Linked DNA regions of Danio rerio. Each later gene encodes a partner of the first gene's protein in a complex. Links are inferred from orthologs where the notes say so. Each region holds a gene or a part of one and is shown in the gene's direction. Other genes may lie near its edges.

What was found.
Region 2: the proteins of vps51 (region 1) and stx6 are in contact, whole or in part, in a crystal structure (PDB 4J2C), measured with the Homo sapiens proteins. The link is inferred for Danio rerio from reciprocal best matches to the Homo sapiens genes VPS51 and STX6. Residues at the interface, in NP_037397.2 of Homo sapiens: Ala33, His34, Met36, Leu37, Leu39, Tyr40, Tyr41, Gly42, Leu43; in NP_005810.1 of Homo sapiens: Met3, Glu4, Asp5, Pro6, Phe7, Val9, Val10, Glu13, Trp59, Asp60, Asp63, Leu64, Glu66, Thr67, Ile70, Val71, Phe78, Arg88.
Region 3: vps51 (region 1) and vps52 share a complex: the UniProt entries of both Homo sapiens proteins name them as parts of the endosome-associated retrograde protein (EARP) complex. The link is inferred for Danio rerio from reciprocal best matches to the Homo sapiens genes VPS51 and VPS52.

Annotation. Positions count from the first base shown.
Region 1 is NC_133185.1:31,886,158-31,889,819, forward strand, and holds part of vps51 (vacuolar protein sorting-associated protein 51 homolog), read left to right. Parts: intron 1-1,137; coding exon 1,138-1,353; intron 1,354-1,431; coding exon 1,432-1,515; intron 1,516-3,015; coding exon 3,016-3,150; intron 3,151-3,255; coding exon 3,256-3,377; intron 3,378-3,662. UniProt on the Homo sapiens protein: Acts as a component of the GARP complex that is involved in retrograde transport from early and late endosomes to the trans-Golgi network (TGN).
Region 2 is NC_133197.1:16,192,567-16,195,959, reverse strand, and holds part of stx6 (syntaxin-6), read left to right. Parts: coding exon 1-8; intron 9-1,167; coding exon 1,168-1,230; intron 1,231-1,307; coding exon 1,308-1,436; intron 1,437-1,560; coding exon 1,561-1,667; intron 1,668-2,693; coding exon 2,694-2,788; intron 2,789-3,393. UniProt on the Homo sapiens protein: SNARE promoting movement of transport vesicles to target membranes. Targets endosomes to the trans-Golgi network, and may therefore function in retrograde trafficking.
Region 3 is NC_133194.1:20,892,858-20,896,519, forward strand, and holds part of vps52 (vacuolar protein sorting-associated protein 52 homolog), read left to right. Parts: intron 1-2,712; coding exon 2,713-2,808; intron 2,809-2,889; coding exon 2,890-2,997; intron 2,998-3,089; coding exon 3,090-3,155; intron 3,156-3,252; coding exon 3,253-3,364; intron 3,365-3,662. UniProt on the Homo sapiens protein: Acts as a component of the GARP complex that is involved in retrograde transport from early and late endosomes to the trans-Golgi network (TGN).

The DNA of each region.
Region 1 (3,662 bases):
ATTCAATGGACACTACGCTATCCCATGATGCTACATGAGAGAATTCATGAATAGGAGTGAAGTGACACAAATGATGCGAGTAGGTCATGTGATAATGACAAATGGGGGATGTAGTACATCCGAGTTCCATTGACACTTCTCACATTCATACTATATAATACATACTTTTCTAATGGTCGTGTGGTAAATTCAAATTTAAATGTAGTCCCTACTCGAGTAGTAGGCAATTTCGGACACAGCTTAACAGTTTTTAATCATATGCAGATTGTTTTTATTTAAATTAATATTGCATTTGAGTAATAATACTTAGGGCCGTCTTCATCTGTTGCTTATAAGAGAATTCTCAGACATAGTTAGTTTTACATAATCTAGAGTTTATTCGTATGAGAGCATTAAACTTTATTTATTCACTTTTTTTATTTATGCCTTTCCCAGCTGGCTAGTAATATTTAGACAATTACTTTTAATATATTAAGAAGATTTTCGGACTTATGTTTAAAAATTAGCAATGAATATTTATTCGTTTCTGTTTTGTAGACTTTATTTCTGTTTTTCTTTCATTTACTATATTCATTCATTCATTCATTTTCTTGTCGGCTTAGTCCCTTTATTAATCCGGGGTCGCCACAGCGGAATAAACCGCCAATTTATCCAGCAAGTTTTTACGCAGTGGATGCCCTTCCAGCCGCAACCCATCTCTGGGAAACATCCACACTCACATTCACACACTCATACACTACGGCCAATTTAGCCTACCCAATTCACCTGTACAGCATGTATTTGGACGGTGGGGGAAACCGGAGCACCCGGCGGAAACCCACGCGAAGGCAGGGAGAACATGCAAACTCCTCACAGAAACACCAACGGAGCCGAGGTTCGACCCAGCGACCTTCTTGCTGTGTGGCGACAGCACTAAATACCGCGCCACTGCCTCGCCTTCATTTACTATATTGTTAATTTATTTTTTACATGACCATTGGCCATTTCTGGTATAGCAAGAACCACAAATGTCAGCAAGCGTTTCTCCATTTCAATTGCATAAAAAAACTAATTTTATATTTTAAAATGATGGATAATGAGACAAGTTCAACCATAGCCATGTTTTTTGTCTAATACCAGTCTCCTATGTTTTCTCAGGGTGAGTTTTGCAGTCAGGGTGTTCGTGAGGGTCTGGTGGTGAGCTTTATTAAGTTCATCTGCCAGTCTTCTCGGCAGTATTGTGAGAGCGCAGGCGACAGAGGAGGATCCACACCTCCTGCTCTCCTCCTGCTGCTCTCTCGTCTCTGTCTGGACTACGAGACCTCCACCATCTCCTACATCCTCACGCTCACAGATGAACAGTTTCTTGTACAGGTATCCCATATCTGTTATATTCAGGATAAATCAAACTCTAAATGCATATAATCATGCTGCTGTTTTCTTTTTAAACAGCACCACACTCCAGTCACCCCAGTTACAGCACTTTGTGCAGAGGCCAGAGAAGCTGCTCAGAAATTACTGAACCACTATGTGAAGGTAAATAAGAGAATAGATTCAGATGTCATGAGTCAATAATTTTGGGCTGTGCAAGTAATCAACAAACTGTTTCGATTTCTGCCTTCAATGATTATGTATAAAGAAACTAAAAAACATTTTAAATAAGTGGCAAGAGGAGTGGGATGCATTGAAAATTATAAATTGTATGAAATACAACCTGAAATCTCAGTTTTTAGACACTCGATGTTTGGATTGAGAAATTCCATGCAAATGTCAACCTTGCCTTTAAAATAATAAAGTTGTCACCAAGTTTTTTTTTTTTTTAATAATAAATTTGTAATAAATCTGACTTCAACTGTATATTAATTTTGGACCTTTTACTATAAACCGACATATAAACCATTTGGTAGAGGCTGATATTTTAGAAATTATGGGATGTGTTGAAAAAATGCATTGAGTTTGTTAACTAGTAACATTAAGAGTTAAGAAATGCCATCCAAACATCTTTTTTCTTGCTGGGGCAGTTAAAGGGTTTTGTACATTTTTAGTGAAGTGGCATCAGGAAAAATTGTAGAATTTTTATCATGTATCAGCACTAAAAATCTTATTTTGATTTTAATTGCATATTTATTATTGAAATGTTCTTGCATGAAAATAGCCTTGGTTGCTGACATGGCATAAAAAACCATTGCATTACTCTTAACGGAATACTTTAGAATTGCATAAAAAAGCTGAGATTTTATTTTTTTATTCTACTGTATTTGTCTTATAATTGCAAATAGTTTGGACTTCAACTGTGTGTGTGTGTGTGTGTGTGTGCGTGTGCGTACATGCGTGTGTAGAATTATTAGCCCCCTTCGATATTTTTTTTTCTTCTTTTTTTTTATTTTTTCCAAATGACGTTTAACAGAGCAAAGAAATTTCACAGCATGTCTGATAATACTTTTTCTTTTGGAGAAAGTCTTATTTGTTTTATTTCGGTTAAAATAAAAGCAGTTTTTAATTTTATAAACACCATTTAAGGGACAAAGTTATTAGCCCCTTTAAGCTATATTTTTTCTTGATAGTCTACAGAACAAACCATCGTTATACAATGACTTGCCTAATTATCCTAACCTGCCTAGTTAAGCTAATTAACCTAGTGAAGCCTTTAAATGTCACTTTAAGCTGTACAGAAGTGTCTTGAAAAATATCTTGTCAAAAATTATTTACTGTCATCATGGCTAAGATAAAATAAATCTGTTATTAGAAATGAGTTATTAAAACTATTATGTTTAGAAATGTGTAGAAAAAAAATCTCTCTGTTAAACAGAAAATGGGGAAAAAATAAACGGGCTAATAATTCAGGGGGGGGCTAATAATTCTGGCTTCAACTGTATATATATATATATATATATATATATATATATATATATATATATATATATGAAAATCACTCATATATTGTGTTTTAGTCATATGGGCCATTAATTATTGGGATTACAACATTTTTACCATAATTGATGATGTTTTTGTTGACCTGGTGTGGTTTTGATCCAGGTTCAGGGATTAATCATCAGTCAGATGCTGAGGAAGAGCGTGGAAACGAGAGACTGGGTGAACACTATTGAACCTAGAAATGTTCGGGCTGTAATGAAGAGGGTGGTGGAAGATACCACTTCTATTGATGTACAGGTGATGGACTTAATATCTGTTCCTTAATTCAAATATTAAATGTGTGCAGAGAATGCACATTTATAAGCCATAATACACCATGTTTTTTATTTTTCTGTTCAATAGGTGGGATTGCTTTATGAAGAGGGAGTAAGGAAAGCCCACAGCAGTGACTCCAGCAAACGCACCTTCTCTGTGTACAGCAGCTCAAGACAGCAGATCCGCTACGCACCAAGCTACACTCCCAGGTGCACTGTCACTTCACAAATATTGCTGACTTAACATCACAATCTTATATAATGTTCATTTGAAGACAAACTTTCTGTGTAAAACTTTGTAATTATTTAATTCAATTACTTTGAATTATTCAGAAATATTCCAAAAAAACTAAATTTTTCCAAGCATAATTAAAACTCTGTCGTTCACTTTAAATAGCTCATTGAATCTAATTGCTGTTCATTTACTCACCCTCAGTTTGACTAAAATGTTGGTGGATTTTTGTCTTTGCTTAGGCTTAATGAACAGCAAGGTGC
Region 2 (3,393 bases), on another chromosome or scaffold:
CAGTCAGGGTGAGCTGATCTGACCGACTGAAAGCACATTTACAACTAATGTTTTAGCATCCACAGTAAAGCCTCATGTTTTAAGTCAAAATAAAGAACAGGTTATATTTTTATTATGACGTCTAAGCCTATGATAAAAACTAAAATGTACTTTTCATTTAAAAATCTTGGTATGGATTTGGATTTTAAATTTGAATGGACATAAAGGTCAACGGTCAAACCCAAAATAAATGTTTCTGTGTCTATGAAAGCCTGTAGATTCATTTTAACTCTACAGACGTAGAATGTTTTGGTTGGAAAAATCTCATTTGACAATTATATATACTTATAATATACAATCATAATTTTAATGACCTCATCTGGCGACATGAACTGCAAATATATATACATTGCTATTATCAGATGCCCTCTTGATGACTGTTTTCTCAATGTTTTTTTTTTCTTTTGGCGTTTATTTTGTTGTTCGTATTCCTTTCATGTATGTGAAGAATGAATTCAATCTAAGAATAAATAATTTTTTAATTAAAAGTTATTGACTGCAGTTCACTTATTAAGAATAGCAGTTTTCAAAGCAGGATATATTCTGATAAAAATGCTGGAAATAAAGTGATCGTGAAGTTTATCATTGCTATTAGTCATGATTGTGGGTTGATTTAAAAAAATAAAATAAAATAAAAAACATTTAGAATAAAAAAAAAAACATCATCATGGTGTTTGTCCTTAATATTATAGGCCTGGACACTATGGAGTTATTTTGTTTCTTTATTATTCAATCAAAAATATTTAGTTTTAGGGAAAAATTAAATACACAGTGATTAAAAAATAAAAGTAAATAAACATTTTAAACAAGAACGTTAATAAACAATAAACAAGAAAAGATTCTAGATGTGCAATACATGACAGCAGATCAGAGAGCACAATGAATAAGTGTGCAATGGAAAGTGTGGTAACTGCATAATAAGTCAATAGTGTATGTTTTTCAATCCAAAATATTTTATCATCATTTACAAGTTTTTTAATTAAACGTTTTTAATTTATTTGCAATCTTTTACTTTTTTATTGGTGTATTACATTATTCCCTAAAACTAAATATTTTGATTGAATAATAAAGAAACAAAAATAAGTCCATAGTACACCGGCATTTATAATAGATTAATTTATTTTGCAGGAGATGAAAGACCACATGACCAGTCCGATGGCCATTACAGTGCCTGAGAAGAAAAATCGACAGGTTTGATATTAAAACCGGATTTAGCTCTGACCGTTTTTGTTGTATTTTTAAATTGACAATTTATGTTCCCTTATCAGACTTTAATGGGCGAAGGTGGATCCCGGGGCCCAATCTGGCAACCGAGTGGTGAAAAGTACACTAGACTTGACAATGAGCTGCAGACGGCAAATTCACAGTTCATTGAAGAACAACAGACGCAGCAACAGGTACTCAATAAAGCGGTTCACAACACTATAAACTGGTTATTAGTGCACAATTAGCATTTTTGGCAATATTGATGAGCATTTATCAAGAGAGTAAACTGTTTGTAATTGTGTGTTCACATGGCAGCTCATAGCAGAAAAGCAGGATGAGCATTTGGAGTTGGTGTCAGGAACTATTGGTGTATTGAAGAACATGTCTCAGAGAATCGGACAGGAGCTGGATGAGCAAGCTGTGTGAGTTATATTAATATTGATGAAGCAGGAATTTATATATTAATATATAATCTTATTTGAAATATTGTTAAAATTATATTTGTATATTATATATAAATGAAAAATGATTTCTAAAGAACAGTGTTTAATGTAACTGTGATATGTAAAGTATTACATACTCTTCACAGTATATATGGATAAATAAATAAATAAATATATATAGTATTTTTATTTATAATGTTTAGTGTGTGTGTGTGTATCTCCCTCTCTCTCTATTTATATATACTTTTATTTAGGAATTAAACATTACATTTCTATGGTTTACAAAATATGCAATATTTGAGAAAATCTAGTATATAAAAATTTTTGATAGGTCATTTTTATCACATTTTTTTATTTTTACTTGTATATTGTTTAAAATAGTAAATGTTTATTTCAATAATTCATATAAACGATTTAATATATAGAATTTCGCAGATCTTTTTAGCTCACCAAGTCTTTTTGATTTTATGTGAATATGTAAAATGTATTTATTGTTTTTATATTATATTTTATATTTTAGTAATGTTATTGTATTATATGCAAATGTTTATATGATTTATTTACAATAACCAAACAAGTGGATCTAATTGGCTAAAAATAAAAGTTAAAAAACATTTTTTATTTTATGATTTAGGTTTTTAGTTATCATTCTCCATTAATCCAAAGATTTATTTATTTTTTTTACAAAATATTTTATGCTGAAATAGCAACAAAAAATTTCTGCATATTCTGTAAAAAGCAAAAATGACTTGAATATAATCTTATATAAAATATATGCTGTGTAAAAATGACTTATACTTCATTTATATAGCAGAGCTATAGTAATGATATTTTAGACTTTACATGAATACAGTAAACTATTCTTGTTGTTAAAAACCTGAACACAACCTTTTAAAATGAACAAAACTGAGCTGTTCTGGCTGAACCCTGACAGATTTGTCTAGTCATTGCGGTTGAGTTAACAGACCTTTTCTTGAATGGACTGTGTGTCTGGACTGTTTTCAGAATGCTGGATGACTTTTCACATGAGATGGACAGCACTCAATCCAGACTGGACAACGTCATGAAGAAACTGGCTAAAGTTTCTCACATGACCAGCGGTGAGTAATACAGCACATACGCTTCATTTCACTCTTGCATGGTTAATACTGCACTTCAAATCATTCTCAAAATACATTCAGAAGTCATTGAGCTGAAACATCAGATTTTCATTTTTGACATCCTGTCTGACACACTATTTCACTTTTTTCTAAAATGTGACCCACAGTACTAGTCACTTATACATCATCTGAAAGCAGAGTAAATGCGTTTTGAATTGCTATATGCAAGGCTTGAAATGATCTTTTTTGATCACCGGCCACTGTGGCTAGTAGTTTTCCAACATTATTAGCCACTCTGCATATTCACTAGCCAAAATTTTGATGTTGCGAAAATAAATTTTATATGCATAAAATACTATTTAAATTTTAGACTATGTCCCCATGCCTCCTCATTCATTTCAGTTTTTGTGTGTCGTGTATGAGCTTGCTCAATGAGCATGATCAAAAGGGTCATGGTTTCTTAGTGTTATATTGCAATTAGTTTTTATTTCAGATGACTTTTCAGAGCTCAGAAATAAGGATTTACCAAATTTAACAATTATTATAATTATTTGGTAGCCACAAATTTTAAATGTGTCAAAACAAGCAAAATATAGCTGTATACT
Region 3 (3,662 bases), on another chromosome or scaffold:
GGGATTCAACTTTAATTTTATTTCAGCTATATATTTTATAAAAGCAAATTAATTAAACTAAAAAGTAACTCAAATAATATTACTTAATTTTTTTAAGTAATGTGTTACTTTACTTGTTACTTAGAAAAATAATATTGTTACATAACTTAATTATAATGCGTTAATTATAATGTGTTACCCCCAACACTGACTGTCAGGATGTTTGTGTGCTTTTTTATACAGTTTCTATTTTAATTTGCAGTTTAAATTGACATGCAAAGTAAAAGTATTAATGGCAGATTTCCTTACAAGCAAATATTAATCCGACACCAAACATAAAAGCAGACACTATAACATCATCACCAGTGACTAAATCTCCAAAAGAAAGATCATCAGGGAATTGTAGCTCTGACAGGTACATGAAATTACTGAAAAACTGCTGCGAGTTAAGTATATTGAAGTATCGCAAGTGCTGAGTTTGCGATCATATCTCTGTTTTGTTCTGTTGTGATCCAAAATTCATAGCTTAAAACAAATGGAAATATGACTGGATTGTGCTGCTTTTACGTCCTCCCACACATCTTGATCCATGCTTGGCATTTCTCCCCTTGGGTTTTAAGTTTTGAAAAGGGAATAAAAAATCTACCACCTCATTCAAACTTTTAGGATACCGGTTATGCTAAACACACGGCCCTCCCACGCCTAGCTACGGTTGCTAAGCCATGATTATGGTGTGTGATAGTTTTTGATTGTAGCTTAGGGTCAGTAACAACAACAAATCAACAAATTATCAGTGATTATTACTGCTTTTAAATTTTACTAGATTTATTTATTTATGTTGTAACCTCAAATTATAACCCATCCCCCCCCCCCGTTCTCTGATGCATATTTATTTTGCTATTTAATTATTTTTTTAAATTTGGTAACTTTATTTTTGTTGTGATTTTTTTTCTGATTAGGTGTGTTGTCACATCAGATCATTATCTAATTTTTGCTCCTTCTTATGTATCTTCCTTCGTCATACCAATCACTAGCATGTCCTTAATCCGCACATTTCCTGTTGTCTTTCCCTTCACCTCCTGCCTGGTGGATCCATTCTCAACTATGTTTTTGTTCTAACCAGGCTAGGCTGCATTTTTTCCCCAAAAATACATTAACAGTAATAAAAATGTTTCTTCCAAAATATTTACATTTTTCTTGCAAATATATTATGAAGTTCTGTAAAAAATCTGAATTTTTATCAGCTATTACTCCAGCCGGGTACATAATCTTTAAGTAATTCAAATAAGCTGATTGGCCCCCTCAAGAAAAACTTTCTATTATTTAACGCTGAAAACAGTTTTATCACTTTTCAGCAAATATACATTAAATTGAAATTTTGTAATGAAATTACAAATGTTCTGTTTGTCAAAGAATCCTAATAAAACATCTAAAATTATAAATCATAATTAATGCAATCCACTAATCCACTGTTTAAGTGAGACCATAATGTTAATTATTTGCTGCCCTGTTACAAAACTAAAGTTAAACAAGAGAAGCCTACTGTAATAGAGATATTGCGATTTGGTCTGAGGACTGTAAAGAGAGACTGAAAGGCGTTATGATGATACAGATTGGGACATCTTTTTTGATAATTGTGCAAATGTGAATGAGATAACAGAAACAATAACATCTTATGTTATTTTTCTGTGAGAATAATGTTGTACAACTAAAACTGTTAAAATATACCCTAATAACTAGGTTTGGGTCTTGCATGAAATTACAAATGTATAAGTAAGAAAAGGGCTGCTTTTGCACAAGGTAATATGACGCTTACTGAAGAGGAAAAAAATGAACTCATATTGATTATTTTAAAAATCCAGAGCACAATATAGAGAATGGAGAAACACTTTGTCACTGGTGATGCTCGTAAAGCATGGAGCAGTCTAAATAGTATGATAGGCAGAGAGACACTGAAGCAACACTGCTTATATAGAATATCTGTCATCCAGAAATTAATCAAATATTTTTTTTTATAGTAGATTTGATAAAAGCACACATGCAGGTAGATTTGACGGAGTGGTTAGCCATGTTAAGATTATTATTTCTCTTACAGAAGTGGAGATATAACTTGTTGTCATTCACATGTTATTAAGCACCTGACCTGAATGGTCTCAAAGGACAGGCAATAGCAGGGTGCATTTACCAATAGAAAGAGGTTTTCACATTAGATTATTAATAGATTATTTCCGGTCTTGCTTGATGCACATACAGTCAACACATACCACAGTTTACTGAGGTAAAAACTAAAGTATACTAAAGCCTTTATCCCTATAGTTAAACTATAGTCATTTACATAGAGTTGAAATTACCTTTAAATATAACATAATACACTTTACTGTAGCATGGTTCAAAAAGGCCATAGTATTTACCAGAAAAAAATTTATTTTTATTTTATTTCATGTAGGTAAGAATCACATCACACCAGAGACTGGAATATGGCTGGAATGGCTGCTTTGCATAACAAGAAAACATAACAATTAAATTAATAAAAATAGTTTAAAACTGTTATATTAACTAATTCATTTTGAAAATATTATTGTTTCTACTCTTATGACTGATAAAATGAATGCAGCTTTGATCAGTGGAAGGGATCGATTTCAAAGTGATTTACACAATGTGTTCTGTTCATAAAGAAATGAATGCATGTGTCATGGTGTATAAATTGCATGTAATTTTGTTTTATCTTTTTAGATCACACGTCGGTATGCTGAATTCTCCTCTGCTATTGTTAGCATAAATCAAACATTTCCTAATGAGAGGACCAACACACTTCTTGGGCAGTTGCAGGTGAGCAAAAAAGCAATGCTCTGCCCTTAAAAGGTAAAGTAGCGCATGTTGAAAACTGTTTAATATGGATCTAATTTTCAGATTGAGGTGGAGAACTTTGTGCTGAAAATGGCGGCTGAGTTTCCCTCTAGACGAGACCAGCTAATTTTCCTGATAAACAACTATGACATGATGCTCAGCGTGCTTATGGTAATGTTTCTTACAAATCACGCCACACCATTTATTAAACGTTCTGTAGTTCTGTAGGTTATAATACTATGTTTATGTATGTGTTTATGAAGGAGAGAGCAGCTGATGACAGTAAAGAGGTTGAGAGCTTTCAGCAGCTTTTGCTGGCGAGAACACAGGTACATCATGGGGTACTGAGTATCAGCTCATATTGGACCTGTCTTGTGGAACTGAAATGTGTAATGTGCATAACAATTGTGTATTGGTGTGTTATAGGAATTTATAGAGGAGATTCTTTCTCCTCCATTTGGAGGTATGATTGCGTTTGTGAAGGAGAGTGAGGCACTAATGGAGAAAGGGCAGCTTGACAAACTCAAAAATGATGAAGGTCAGAGCTGTTTTCATTAAGATTTCAATTTCATGTCATTCCAAACCATTAAGGCTTCTGTTCATCTAGGGCTGGGCGATAATTCGATATCGATAATTATCACAATATAAAATTTTTCGATATGACGATATTGACAGTTTGATAATTGCTCGATAATATTTACGCACTATGCGTAACATTGCGCAAGCATTTTGCAGCCTGCCCTTCCGGATGCTGCACGCCGTACAAGTTTACAGCCATACATTGTTAGTTGTACTTAAAGGAGTAAGAAAAAAGGGTAAAAAAGGTCAGAGTCACA